2 linked regions of the Macaca fascicularis genome follow. The protein of the gene in region 1 purifies or fractionates together with the protein of each later gene. This does not show direct contact. Links are inferred from orthologs where the notes say so. Each region holds a gene or a part of one and is shown on either strand. Other genes may lie near its edges.

What was found.
Region 2: the proteins of KLF6 (region 1) and SP1 purify together in Homo sapiens (affinity purification with western blotting, with the first as the bait; 3 studies listed by BioGRID). This does not show direct contact. The link is inferred for Macaca fascicularis from reciprocal best matches to the Homo sapiens genes KLF6 and SP1.

The regions. Positions count from the first base shown.
Region 1 is NC_088383.1:4,681,938-4,689,189, forward strand, and holds part of KLF6 (Krueppel-like factor 6), read right to left. Parts: intron 5,400-7,252; coding exon 4,826-5,399; intron 3,410-4,825; coding exon 3,286-3,409; intron 2,661-3,285; coding exon 2,609-2,660; 3' UTR 1-2,608.
Region 2 is NC_088385.1:60,179,787-60,187,858, reverse strand, and holds the start of SP1 (transcription factor Sp1), read right to left. Parts: upstream 5,589-8,072; 5' UTR 5,487-5,588; coding exon 5,480-5,486; intron 5,229-5,479; exon of another isoform or gene 5,110-5,228; intron 4,976-5,109; exon of another isoform or gene 4,945-4,975; intron 4,141-4,944; coding exon 3,983-4,140; intron 3,688-3,982; coding exon 2,175-3,687; intron 1-2,174. UniProt on the Homo sapiens protein: Transcription factor that can activate or repress transcription in response to physiological and pathological stimuli.

The DNA.
Region 1 (7,252 bases):
TTTGTCTTTTGTTTACCTTCTTGCTTAATGGAATTGTTATGGCTAAGCACACAGAAGGCCAAAAAAGGAGTTTTCCAAACCCAGCAAATCAAGTGCTTGGATTCCGAACTGCTGAAAGAAAACTGCACTTCCCCTCTAAGCAAAATGAAATGAGTTCCTTAGGTAAATGTATTCATCAGCTCAGATTTAAAAAAACAAAAAACAAAAAAAACCAGTTATGTGAGCGTTAGTCATTGCTCATTTCCAGGAAGATCAAACAAAATACCAGCCCAGCCAGACTCACATGTGTGTATATATATATAAAGCAAAGAGTCACACCCACAAGCCTGCAGCTGGGTGAAATATCAGCTGTCCACGCTGTGGTATGCCAATTCGGGGAAATTACCCCTCGGAAAAACTGGAAGAATCTACATGCTGGAAAAAATAGCTTCCTCTGCATAAAAAGTGTTCTACAAAAGAATCCCTGTGGTTAGCTCACTCTTAGGTTAGATCATCTAGTAAGGCTGAAATTCAAAATCAAAACCTTAGTGTGTCCGAGTCCAGCCTGGGTTCCAGCATTCTGTTCAGGCCCCTTCTGAACGGCCAAAGGTGCCCCATTCCAGACCTGCCCATTTGATGGACAGAGCGGACAGCCCGGAACAGATTCAAGCAAGAAAGTCCTCCGTACATTGTTAAATTAAAGATAAAGCCTCTATAAAAGTTAGGTTATAGTTTTCATTTTTACCTCCTTTATGGCCATTTTGAAATACTTCTTCACAGGCTGTGGAATTTTCTAGCTAAACATTCTAGTTTCTCCTTAAAAAAAATATTTATATATTATCTATATATATAATATATATATATACACACACATACACATACTATACACACAAATATACATACACAAGAATTCTGCCCACTTTTAAAAAAAGTAGTATACTTTCTGTATTACCAACAGATAGCTAGACAGATATGTGAAACTTGTGCCTTTTAAGCAAATACATTAACATTGGGTTTATTTTTTTATACTTCTGTATCTTTAATATGTGTGAAAATGTTACATATTAAACACAGCCGGTGTGTGATCTATACAATTGTTGTGCAAGGTCTATATGAAAGTCTCAAGGTGGCAGAATTGGTCAGATTTTTCCATTTTCATGTTTTCCATTTGAACACTGACAGTCAAGTTGTCTAAAGTATTGAACAAATACTGACATGTAAAGGGAGTTTCACTCTATGTTTTTGTGAAGGAGGACCTTAAAGAGATTTTTTTTTTCTGTGTTATATGTTGATACAGTACACTGCCAGGTGAAAAAAGAGCCTTAATTAAGCATGCATCGCCCACACCCCTGTATGAGACCCCCACATAAGGGATCGCTTGCGTAAGGCACCATTATGAAGGTCAACAGTGCATTAACAGCTAGAAAACCAGAAATTAGTCCTCAAGGCATAAATAAGAGAAACATAGCTGCATGAGAAAACAGTTTCTAAGCGTTAGTGGTTTTATCCACCCAACTGAGAAAAATTTTAGGTTCTTAGCCTAATGAAACATTAGACCAATTCCCGGCCCCAGCTTTGTGACACTTAATACGTGTCCAATTTCTTCAAAGGGCATCACACAATTCTCCAAAAAGTTACTTCAAATTCAGAAGCATTTAAAAATAATCCTGTGTTGCACAATGCCTTTCTGGAAGGGGAGTGTTACAAACTCGGAGGGGAAAAAAATTGTAGATTGCCAGGCCCGGATGGCTAGGGGTCACTGTATTAGACAGACTGGATCTTAGCTGCTCATTAACTGGAATCAGTATTGCAGTCCTGACTTAAAAATGGAAAAGCATATAGTTCCCCAGACCATGCATGACTTTTTGTATTCTAAGGAAAAGTTAAATGGTTGTGTTATATTTGTAAATACACAGCTTATACAATGGGTTACAAATGAGCTATGTTGTAGCGTGTAGAACAAGCTACTTGACACATTGCACATTTAATAGCTGCACCAGACACTAAGAGCTCCTCTCACGCAGAAAACGGGGAGAGAGGCTCTCCCTCCCCACACCACTCGCCACTCTGGGGTCCTGAGTTCCCACGCCCACCCTCCAAGATTTTCCTTTTTTTGTTTTTGTTTTTTTGTTTTTTTGATTTTTGTTTTTTTCTAAGGTGCAGACACCCCCTCCCCCCACCCCCGGAAATGATTGGTGGTCATCTCATCTCATGGTATACTCCTTACACACAAAACATTCAAACTACTTTTTTTCCATCTCTTGCAGTCTTGCTAACCACAAGGAAAAAAAGTTGGCCTCATCATACAGTCAGTAATAGATCCTCAACATACAATCAACCCAACCATTAACATTCTCAGTGCGCATGCTCACGGCAAAGGCTTAGGCGCCACTTGGAAGGTCGGGTACCAGTGGCGAGTCCAGGATCACCCACATACCATGCACCACGGGTGCTATGCCGCTTCTTACAGGACTGTTTTAGCCCTCAAAAGACCTTCCAAGGAGAGGCCCTGGAGGCAACTGGGTAGGGTGCAGAACGGCATGCTTTGGCTGGAACACGCATCCCTCCTTCCACGGCCGGCTCTCAGCCTGGAAGCCTTTTAGCCTACAGGATCCACCTCTCTGCTCCCTCAGAGGTGCCTCTTCATGTGCAGGGCCAGGTGGTCAGACCTGGAAAAACACCTGCAAGGGCAAATCAGAAGCACAGAAGTTAGGTTTCCAACCCTCGCCAGTGTTCCGGACCAGCGCCCTCACCTCCCTGCCCTGCCCAGCCTAACCCCCTGCAGGGAAAGATGTGACTCTCCTCCCAAGCCTCATCAGTGTCTTCAGGGACAGGAGACACCAACTGATAGGAATGTGAATTAAGAATGTCTCCCTGCCCAGCCTAACCCCCTGCAGGGAAAGATGTGACTCTCCTCCCAAGCCTCATCAGTGTCTTCAGGGACAGGAGACACCAACTGATAGGAATGTGAATTAAGAATGTCTCCCATCAGTGGCCGGAGGTTCTCTGGAGAATCTGAACGGACTTCATTTCTAATTCTTCAAATACGAAAACTGTTGAAAGGCCAATTTCCAAACACTATCAATAAACAGACTCCAGTGTCAGGTGTACCTGGAACAGCTCTTCCTAACCACGGCCAACGAGCACACCAGAAACTTTCTAAAAAGTCCCAGGCTTGAAAAGAAACGTTCACACATGGGAAACCGTGTGCCTTCCTTCCCACGTGCCCTGCACGCCTACATAACCCTGGTCATCACATTCCCAAGGCCCCACGCTCCCTGCCCAGCGCCGTCCTCAGGCACGTACCTGTCACAGTGGGAGCATTTAAAAGGCTTGGCCCCGGTGTGCTTTCGGAAGTGCCTGGTTAACTCATCACTTCTTGCAAAACGCCACTCACACCCTTCCCACGAGCATCTGTAAGGCTTTTCTCCTGCGGAGAGAGCACAGGACAAGCGGCCCGTGACTTCACTGACCCGCAGACAGAAGGGGGAAATTCAACCCCACACGCAGTGACGGGATGCGAGGTCAGGGACCCAGTGGCTTCTGGCATTGGTAACACACTTCAAGGAAGGACTACAACTGGCAGCCTCGGAGAGACAACAGCAGCTCTGTCCTGACCCAGTCTCAGGCCTCCCACTGCTGTCCAAGGGACACGGCTTCGGCAAGGCCTGTGGTGCTGTAATCAAAGTTAACGTGAAGAATGACCACAACTCAGACCAGCAAAATGCTTGCGGGACAAGGTGTCAGCCTGCCGGACCCACGGCCCCCGCAAAGGCAGAGCTATTGCTTTCTCTATGGTAACTGTTTCTCCCAAACACACTTCTGTTTCGTACTCACTTCCCTATGGAATGAGTCTCTGCAGTTTCCTCAGGGACAGTCACCTTTCTACAAAGCTGCAGTGAGGAGCTTCTGGAAAGCCCCAGCGCAACGCCCTGGAATCATTCTCTAAATGGCAATCCAACAACCGGGTTCACTTCATTCCTTGGTCAAATCATAAATATGAATTTACTACAAGTGCTACCTGAGAAAACAAAGTTGCCAAGCCAATCCTAGGGTATGCTGAGACAGGCCTGGGCCTGGATTTCAGGCCACTTGGATCTCAATCTCAGCTGTCACCAAGCCTGTCTGGGACTGACTCGCAGCAATTTGCTCTCCTACTGATAAGAGAAGAGTCTGCATCACGTGATCGTTAAGACCTTTCCCAGCTCTAAATTTTCTGATTCCTCACCAATTATCCTAGAAATATGTCAAGGTATTTTCAAAATAGTACTTTCACCTAAGGTACGGCATTTCATTAAGAAATTGTTTCAAGCGGTATCAGAAACAAAGGCTGCATGAGACACACAGAGGTTCTCAGGAAACACCCGCTGATCAATGCTGCTGCTAACAGAGCAGGCCGGTCCCACCTGGGCCTCGGGTCATCAGCATCAAACCCACACACTCCATGCTGCCCAGCAACCCTCTGTCCTGACCCGAGTTCCATTTAGGAAACCCAAGGGCAACTCGAGGTAGCCTCGCGCGTGTGCACCGGTGAAGGGGCAGTGGCCTCGGAACCCGGGCACTGCTACGGGGGGTGGAGGTTTGGGTGTCCATGGAGAAAAGGATCTAGTCTCTTGTTTGTTTAATCTGAAAACTGTTACGCATTTATCCAACTCAAAAGTCCAGTCTTTAGGATTCTACTCTGAGCTCCACAAAGACCCAATGCTTTGGTGGAAAACATCTGAGGAAGTGAGGATTTGTCTGCTCTGACCACATCCCGTGGAGCCAGCCCTGGCTCCCTCCAGGGCTGGTGCAGTGCAGTGGCGCCCACCAGCGGCCGCCCTCCGGGGCCCGCGTGGGCACTGACCTGTGTGCGTCCGCTGATGTGCTTTCAAGTGGGAGCTTTTGGTGTAAACTTTCCTGCAGCCGTTGAAGTGGCACCGGTGCACCCTCCTCCTGCCGTCGGGGGAAGCATCGCCACTTCCCTTGTCACCTGGCTTCCCCGAAGTCCCGCTGCGCACCTTCCCTGGCGAGGGCAGCTCCCCAGGCACACAACCCCACAGTTGAGAAGGTTCCCTGCTCAGTTCCGGAGAAGATGGAGGAGTGGAGGTGACAGAGGAGCTCAATTTTCCCGAGCTGACCAAAACTTCGCCAATGGGGTCAGAGGTAAACTTGGCCGTGGGAGAAAGTTCCTCGGAGCTGTCAGAGGATTCGCTGCTGACATCTGAGTTCAGGCTGTTGGTCTCTAAGTTGTAACAAAAGCTCGGGCTGATGAGAGTGTCCTCTGGAGGACTGGAAGATATCTTCAGTTCGGATTCCTCCTTTTTCTCCCGAGCCAGAATGATTTTGGTCCACAGATCTTCCTGGCTGTCAAATTTGATTTCTGAGGCTGAAACATAGCAGGGCTCACTCTGGAGGTAACGTTCCAGCTCCAGGCAGGTCTGTGCAAAATGAACCAGAGAAGGCACGTGATTGCTATGGCAACCAAAAGTAAAAGCAAAAGCAATTTCCAAAAACATGCAAGAATGAAGGACAGATACATTGCTGCCCGATCACTACAGGGGCAAAACCTTTCATAATTAAGCATCCATGTCCTTACGGAAGTTAGAGGAAATCTGTTTCTAGAATGGTAAGAATTCAGAGGAAAAGTCAGAGGGCGAAACCTCTCCTGGCTTTCCCAATGTTGGGTCAACGGCCACAATGAGTGATGATTACTAAGCCGGTTTTTTTTTGTTGTAGTTACCAGTGTTGATGTTTCTCATGAAACCACAGGAAGAGAACCGGCCCCACACACATACCCCCCCAACAGGTTCAACCAGATTATCTGACATTGTCAAGAACCATGTGTTTTAAGGAAAGCCCCAGCCATTCACCCTTCACACCCCACAGATACCCACACAACAGGACAAAAAAGACTGCACGGCACACAGCGTGTTCTGAGGGACCCCCTTGGGGACACGTCTGACAACGCAGGGCCACACTCGGGGGAGAGGAGACAGCAGCTGTCTGTATTCAGGGGCATCGAATGGAGCTGCAGAAAAACCACCCATTTCCCGTGCAACCCAGACCGCCTATGTTTTCACAGAATGCCGTTCCCAAGTGCAGGCCCTTGCATGACACAGAACTTTAATTACTTCTACAGTGGTCAGAGAAAAACAAGGAACTTCAACAACAGGAGTGCAGAAATAATTCCAGCATGGCCATCTGCTATTGTGAAGGATGCAAGGGGAAATTACTCCACGGCCCTGCTGGGAGTCCCACAATGAACAAGAACTTTATCTACTGGCCAAGAGTACAACTGCATGAGTCATCACTCTGATTTCTTTCACGCAATGCCAAAGGAGACTTCCTTTTGAAATTCTGATCAGCAGCCCAATAAGGACCCAGTTCAAATGGACATGCAGTGTGGCATGGACAGCGCCCCTTCCCCAGCCCCGCAACCAACCTTTCAAGAAGCTACAACTGCCGAGATCAGCATCCCCTCTCCCCACCATTTCAAACTTTCTAGCCACTGGAAAAGAAAAATGGTAGGAAACATTTTAGGATTAAATTATGTCTGCCCTGATTTTCACGAGGATCAGTTGCCTGCATGTCCATATAAGGTTGTCTATACTACTGGCAATTCTACAAATTTCAGTTTCTACACCACTCTGCTCTGGTGAGCACATCATTTTTCCGGGCAGGGACTATACTGAGCACAGCCCACCCCGGGGGCTCAGGCTGACTTAGCTGTGTGCCTCTCTCCTGCCACAGGCAATCCCTCCCCCTCCCCAGGCTCGCACACAGCCAGTGTGAGCAAGCACACGGGAAAATCATGGTTTCCCCTTTCCCCCGAAACTAGGCGTCTGAGTTACAATGCACACTACAGCGTTCTGAAGAGGGGCAGCAGCGATATATCTAATTGATTTTCCAAAGAAAAAAGAAAAGCACATTTATGGAGATCTTGTTAAACTTTAATAATCCGGCTAATTTAAAATCTCCATTACGCTGATGAGCACCCGGGACCTGAACGAAGCTCTGGGAGAGTTTAAAAGCCTCCGAAGGCGACCAGGAGCCAGGTCTGGCCGTTTGCCCAAATCCCAAATGCCCGAAGGAAACTACTTAGATCAATTTCAATCACGTCCCAGGGAGCAGCTTCTTTGAGGAGAAAAAAAACAAGAGGGGGAGGGGGAAAAAGGCAGGCGAGGATTGTGAACAATTAAGCAGGCGTGTGAAGGTTGCAACACCCTGCATTTCATCCTCCTTAAAGCTTTCGAGGCTTGGAAACCCACAGCCTCTATTTGATCTGGCAATT
Region 2 (8,072 bases), on another chromosome or scaffold:
AGTTCAAAATGAAAGACCCTGAACACCATGGTCAACCGATTCAATATTCTTCCCAGATTATTTTTCCCTTCAATGCTCTCCTCATTCCTAACTCTTCTCAATCCCACATCCCCCACTCCATTCCAGACCCCAACTTACCCCACTCCCTTTCTCTCTCCTCCCTTCCTAACCATACACAGTACTTTCAAAGCAGACTAGGAAGTTAGACTGCTACCTAGGAAATACCAGAATCACCTAGGACACTCATATGTTAGTGTGAAGGGAAGCTATGGGATTTTGTTTTTAAGATAACTAGGAGTTAAAAAAAATTCAACCCTGATTAACCAGCATGCTCAGTGTGGGATATTCTGGTTAATACTAACCAGGGAACTTATTTTGTTGAAAAGCAACCCATTAGATCATTTTTCCTTCAATTAGGAGTTACAGTTCACAAGAAATATCTGATGATAATCTGTGTTCTACAAACGGGCAAAATTCATAATCAATTTTTTTTTTTTTTTTTGGAGATGGAGTCTTGCTCTGTCGCTCAGGCTGGAGTGCAGTGGCACGATCTTGGCTTACTGCAACCTCTGCCTCCCAGGTTGGAGAGATTCTCCTGCCTCAGCCTCCCGAGTAGCTGGGACTACAGGTTTGTGCCACCACGTCTGGCTAATTTTTGTATTTTTAGTAGAGACGGGGTTCACCATATTGGTCAGGCTGGTCTTGAACTCCTGACTTCATGATCCGTCCACCTCGGCCTCCCAAAGTGCTGGGACTATAGGTATGAGCCACCGCACCCAGCTCATAATCAAATTTTTTTTTTTTATTTTCTGAGACAGGGTCTTGCTCTGTCAACCAGGCTGGAGTGCAATGATGTGATTTCAGCTCACTGTAGCCTCTGCCTCCCAGGTTCAAGTAATTCTTGGCCTCAGCTTCCTGAGTGACCGGGACTACAGGTGCGCATCACCATGCCCGGCTAATTGTTTGTATTTTTAGTAGAGAAGGGGTTTTGCCATGTTGGCCATGCTGGTCATGAACTCCTGACCTCAGGTGATCGACCCATCTCGGCCTCTCAAAGTGCTGGGATTACAGGCATGAGCCACCATGCTCAGCCGCCCGACTACATTTTGGTTTTTTTTTTTTCAGAGTCTTACTCGGTAGCCCAGGCTGGAGTGCAGTGGTGCAATTTTGGCTCACTGCAACCTCTGCCTCCCGGATTCAAGCGATTCTCATGCCTTAGCCTCCCGAGTAGCTGGGACCATAGGCATGTACCACCATGCCTGGCCAATTTTTGTATTTTTTGTTGGACAGGGTTTCGCCATGTTGCCCAGTCTGGTCTTGAACTCCTGAACTCTACCCATCCACCTGCCTCGTCTTCCCAAAGTGCCTGAATTACAGGAGTGAGCCACCGTGCCCGGCCCATAATCAATTTTTATCCTATGGAGGAGTTGGCCTACAGGCCAAAGAAGGCCTTAGAGCTAAAAATGGTTTTACATTTTTAAAAGGGTGCGGAAAAAAACATACAAAAAAGAAAATGTGGCTAGGCGCAGGGGCTCGTACCTGTAATCCCAGCACTTTGGGAGGCTGAGGCAGGTGGATCACCTGAGGTCAGGAGTTTGAGACCAGCCTGGCCAACACAGCAAAACCTCGTCTCTACTACAAATACAAAAATTAGCTGGGCATGGTGGCGTTTGTCTGCAATCCCAGCTACTCAAGAAGCTGAGGCAGGAGAATCGCTTGAACCCGAGAGGCAGAGGTTGCAGTGAGCCGAGACTGCATCACTGCACTCCAGCCTGGGTAACAGAGCAAGCCTCTATCTCAAAAAAAAAAAAAAAGAAAACAGAAAAGAAAACGTGACCACATGAGGCCCACAAAGCCTAAAATATTTACTATCTGGCCCTTTACAGAAAAAGTTTGTCAACCCTTATTCTGCAGCACCAAAAACACTGAGTAGTACACAGACTCCAAAATATTGCCCAGAAGTGCTCCTTTCTCATCAAACTAACTGGAGAAGTTTCCTTTACTTCAGTTCCAAATTACTTAAACAGAATCTCTATTTCTCAAATTTATTTGCCTATATGACTAGCCCTCAAGAAAGTGTTATCTCAAAAAGCTCTATTCCCTTATTTAGACTCAAGTTTCAGCTAAGATGCTAGGGTTGGTTCCCAATAAATGCAAAAGATCGGAAAGCTTACCTGGAGCATTTGCTATAGCCAACGGCAGGCCTTGAATTGGGTGCACCTGGATTCCTGAAGTACCCAATGCACTGAGGTTAATGGTCTGGAGGCCTGGCATGGAGGAGAGTTGAGCAGCATTCACAGTGACTGTGCCAGCAGGAATGGAAGCAGCTGAGGCAATGGGTGTAAGAGTGGTGCTGCTGCTGCTGGTCTGTCCCAAAGAAACACCCTGCATTGGGGCTAAGGTGATTGTCTGGGCTTGTGGGTTCTGAACTTGGAGGTTCTGCAGCTGTAGAGTCTGCCAACTGACCTGTCCGTTGGGCCCCACTGTTGGTGTCCGGATGATGATGGGACCAGAGTTTGGAACAGCCTGAAGCTGGAGGTTCTGGAGGGTTTCTTGGGAGATAGCTTGAGTTGTAAAGGTCTGCCCTGACAATGGTGCTGCTTGGAGGGCCTGGAGGGCCTGTCCCCCTTGAACTAGCTGAGGCTGGATAAGAATTTGTTGCTGCTGTGTCTGCTGGTTTTGCTCTCCTTCTTTTTGCTGACCTGCTTGCAGTGAGCCTCCAGATGTCTGGTTTTGCTGGATGTTCAGAGCATCAGACCCCTGTAGCCCACTGACCCTCTGGGGTGTCTGGCCTTGAGAGTTGGTCCCTGATGATCCACTGGTAGTAAAGTTCATAATTCCCATGTTGCTGGTGGTAGTAGTAGTTGAGTAGCTATTGGCATTGGTAAAAAAGGAGCTGGAACTGGCTTGTGATGACACCAAGCTGGCAGAACTGATGGTAGTCCCTGAGGTGACAGGCTGTGAGCCACTCTCCTGGGACCCAGAGCTGCTGATGGTGACTGCCTGAGAGCTGGGAGTCAAGGTAGCTGCAGAAACGCTGTTGACAGGTAGCAAGGTGATGTTCCCATTCAGGGCCACTGGTACATTGGTCACATACTGAGTCTGTCCTGAGAGTACATTATTAGCCAGGCCTTGGAGGGGGACAGCCTGCTGGAGTAGATTTGGCATAGCAGCAATGATGTTGCCTCCACTTCCTCGATTTGTGATAATCTGTTGGTTTGCACCTGGTATGATCTGTATTTGACCAGAACCATCCTGCTGCACTTGGGCCCCAGTGGCAGCAAACTGCAGCTGTTGCCCATCAACGGTCTGGAACTGTGGGATTACTTGATACTGAATATTAGGCATCACTCCAGGTAGTCCTGTCAGAACTTGCTGGTTCTGTAAGTTGGGAGTGGCAGCCACAACATACTGCCCACCAGAGACTGTGCGATTCTTGGAAGACTCACTGCCATTGCTGCCATTGGTACTGCTGCCACTCTGTTCCTTTGAGGTAGGGGTAGCCCCAGAGGAGGAAGAGATGATCTGCCAGCCATTGGCACCCTGTGAAAGTTGTGTGGCTGTGAGGTCAAGCTCACCTGTTCCCCCTGACTGACTCGGGCCCTGGGAGTTGTTGCTGTTCTCATTGGGTGACTCAATTCTGCTGCAAGTTGCTGCCAGCAGAGCCAAAGGGGATGGCTGGGACTCCTGGCCAAAAATAAGGGAGAGGAAAGGAGTTAGTGACACCCAGCTGCCAGCCTAGGGGGCAGTATACAACAAATAAACAGCAACGTAGTGCAGACAAGGAGCAAAAAACAGAAACAAAAAGCTGACCTATCTGTATTGCTGAAACTCCTGTCTTTGGGGATCTCCATACTCTTACTTCTTATCTATAAAATGGTTTTGATAAGCTCCCTAAAAAGCTTTCTATGAAGAGTAAGGCAATTATCTAAGAATATTTACATCCTCTCAACATCTTCCCCACTCTATTATTATCACTTACCTGCCCTCCTCCTCCTCCACTGCTGCTGCTACTGCCTGTGCTGCTACTTCGAGCCTGTGAAAAGGCACCACCACCATTACCACTGCCCCCATTATTGCCACCAACTCCTTTTTCAATCTTCACCACAGCTGTCATTTCATCCATGGAGTGATCTTGGTCTAAAACAATTAAAAAACAAACAACTTAAACTTGAGGGAAGAAAAGAGATGAAGTAGGAAGGATAAAAGGAGGCTATGATGAAATAGCAATGACTAACAGGAAGGCGAAAGGCGCCAGTATAAAGAAAATGGATTGGAGGGCAGAGGGGAGCTGCAGGGCATGCAGGACATGAACTAGGCTCAATGGTGCCAAAAGTGGGCCTCAATTCTCCCTTACACAAAATTAACTAAGAAAACATTCAAAAAGTGCTTTGGGGATAGGAAATGTGAAGGATGGTAGTCATGCTGAAAGAGTTTCAAAATAAGAAAAAGTATCCTAAGGGAAAAAAGGACAAGTAAGGCAAAAAACAATATGTGGGCGGATGGAAAGCTTGCTAAAATTAAGGTTAAAAGAGATGGAGAGGCCAGGCGCGGTGGTCATGCCTGTAATCCCAGTACTTTGAGACGCTGAGGCAGGAGGATCACCTGGGGTCAGGAGTTTGAGACCAGCCTGACCAACAAGGAGAAACCCCGTCCCCACTAAAAATACAAAATTAGCCGTGTGTGGTGGCGCATGCCTGTAATCCCAGCTACTCCCGGAGGCTGAGGCAGGAGAATCGCTTGAATCCGGGAGGTAGCAGTGAGCCGAGATCGCACCATTGCACTCCAGCCTGGGCGACAAGAGCGAAACTCCCTCTCAAAAAAAAAGAGAGAGATAAACAAAAACCCAAGTATTAAAAGTAACAAGAGGAGAAGGGAAAAAGAAATAAAAAGTTTTAGTAGGAAAACATTTGTGAATACTACTAAGGAACTAAAGGGGTGTACTGGTTAGTAGTCAGGAGGTTTCGGGGCGGAGGGCGGGCCCTGAGGGAAAGGGCGGTTTCGGGGTGAGGGGCGTGGAAAGGGCGGGACGGTGGGGCGGGGGGAAGGGAAATCTACGGAAAGTGGGGGGAGGAGGGCGCCGGAGCAGGCGGCGACCAGAGGACGGACCAGACAAGCGGTTGGCCCGGGCGGGGCCTTCACTGCTCGGGCCGCCCCCGCGGCTCCAGCCCCCGGCGGGAGGAGCCTCAGGCGGGCGGCCGAGTAGTGGGGGGTAAGGCCCGTCCCCCGTGGCCGGGGCGGGCAGGGGGCGGGCGAGGCCACGCTGCCCCCTCCCCCGGGGCGGGCGGCCCATCCCCCTCCTCCTCGGAGGCCCAGCCACTGCCCCGTCTCCCTCCCTTCCCTCCGCCCCGGGCGGGACCTAGGCCGCCGCCGCCGCCTCCCGCCCGCCCCCCCTCACGGCGGGGATCGCCCGGTCGGCCCTCGCGCGCGCCCCCTCACTCGCCTCCCACCCCTAAGCCTGGAGTGGACTCATCCTTACCGCTCATGGTGGCAGCTGAGGGACAAGCTCAAGGGGGTCCTGTCCGGGGGGGTTGGGGGGGGCCGGGAAAAACGCGGACGCTGACGAGGCAAGCGAACCCGGACCGGACAGGGAGGGGGGGGTGAGGAGGAGGGAGCAGCGCGCCACCAGCCCAACCTATGCCCCGCCCCTTCTCTGCTGCCCCGCCCAATGAGGGAGGGGGAAAGGTGGGACTTGCAGAAGAAAGACGGTGAGGTTTTCCAATGGCAAGACTCGCTTGCTCTCTAAGGCGTGTAAGACTAAGTTGCGTGCCTGGTGTCCGCCCAAAAAGACAGCCCTCTCAGTGTTAAAAGCCAATGAAGGATGCAGGAAGTGAAGATGGGCGGGAGCTGGGGATTATTGGCTTGGAAGGAAACCAGTCAACCGGCAGGCGGGCTCCCTGAGACATTGGGATAGGGAAAGCTTTGATAGGAATGACAGAACAACGGCCAACTAGAATCCGGGATATGCTTGGGCAAAATCCTAGTGGGAGGAGAGGTAAGAAGTAGACAGGAATAGGATAGGCTGAAGCTGATTAAAACCAATCAGAAATCAGGCGGGCAGCCAGGAAAGTTATGATTGGATTAAGACTGAAAAAAGACAGGAAAGGACGCATATTGACGTGAATTAAAAGCCAATTAAACGCCAGATTAACTCTGAGGGCGGAAACTTGGAGTGGCAGAGGAGAATTGGCGGCTCCCTCAGTTATTCAATCCAATGAGGGAACGAAGTAAGCCTGGCACCGCCTCCTAGTTGGCCAATGGGCGTTACCGGAGCCGCCCATCATGAGGGAGGGAAGAGGGCTGTGCCAAGAGGAGACCGTCGCCATATTGGCCCACCTCAGGGGACGTTGTTACAGTCATTAGGTGGGACGCTTTAGTGGAGTCTTGCAGCTCAACAGGTGTCAGAGCCAAGGCATTCGGCGCGCAGTTCCGCATCAACACTAGGATTTGTTTGAGTCTTCATTTAACTGCCCCTATAAAGTACCTCTCAAATCTTACCCGTTTCCCGGGTGGGCGGACAGGCGGGCAGATACCTCAATGTCGCTGCAAGCCCTGCGAGTGCAGCCGGAACGGGATTTGGGGACAGCGCTCACCAAATAAGTTAATACTGAGCTGACCAATATGCAGAGTCTCCGTAAGATTCCAGAAAACGCCATTTTGTTAAGTTCCGCCAGACAAAGGCGCTAACCACTTACGACTGGTTAACTTTTCAAGCTTTGAGGCTAAAGTGCGGATAAGTCACTTCCATTTTTCGGAGTTAATAGTAAATACCGCCTATGCATAAAGCAAGATAGTTGAGCTCCTGCTTTTTGCAATCACGAAGGTTAAACTTTACTGCAGGCACCTGGATTTCTGGCCTCCTCTTTATCCGTGTTTTGGTGGAGCCGGCCTTGATAGCTTGTCAATGACACGATAAGGTCATGTCCTTCAGTATTTGTATCTTAAATGTTGTCGCTTGCTTGTATGTTCTTATGTTTTAAAATCTGAATTCTCCTATACTATTTTAAGCCCTTTGGAGTTAAGAACTGAGGCCTTGGCCGGGCGTGGTGGCTCAAGCCTGTAATCCCAGCACTTTGGGAGGCCGAGACGGGCGGATCACGAGGTCAGGAGTTCGAGACCATCCTGGCTAACACGGTGAAACCCCGTCTCTACTAAAAAATACAAAAAAAAACTAGCCGGGCGAGGTGGCGGGCGCCTGTAGTCCCGGCTACTCGGGAGGCTGAGGCAGGAGAATGGCGTAAAAACCCGGGAGGCAGAGCTTGCTGAGATCCGTCCACTGCACTCCAGCCTGGGCGACACAGCGAGACTCCGTCTCAAAAAAAAAAAAAAAAAAAAAAGAACTGAGGCCTCTGATGCTTTAGACAGGTAAAAAGGTGAAGTAATTGCTGACTGCCTACAGTGTTAGGTGCCTAAGTCAGGGAGGCAGTTGGTATTTCGTGTCATCCTTATCAGGAAGATGTTATTAAGTATTAGCTATATTATGTATTTTATAAGTGAAGACATTCAGGCTGAGAAGTGACTTACCCAAGGTCACAAAGCAAATGAGTCGTAAGTGTTAGATTCCAACCCAGAATAGTTCCACAAAAAGTTTTCTGTAGATTCTTCAGTGAATTAATGCTGCCAGGCGCAGTAGCTCAGGCCTGTAATCCCAGCACTATGAGAGGCCGAGGCGAGCGGGTTGCTTGAGCCCGGGGGTTCAAGACCAGTCATGGGCAACATGGTGAAACCCCGTCTCCACAAAAAAATAACAAAAATTAGCTAGACATGGTCATGTACGCCAGTAGTCCCAGCTACTCAGGAGCCTGGGGTGGAAGGATCGCTTGAGCCCAGGAGGTTGAGGCTGCAGTGAGCCCAAATCCTGCCACTGCGCTCCAGGCAGGAAAACAGAGAGAGACCTTGTCCCCAAAGTAAGTAAATATATAAATGCTTTTTAATTTTTACTGTCTAGCTCCTGAAAAAAAAAAAAAAAATCCTACCCCTACTTCCAGGTCAGCTCAAATGGCGTCATCCTCTTATATACCTTTGTTATGAAATTTATCAGAAAGGGCCGGGCGTAGTGGCTCAAGCCTGTA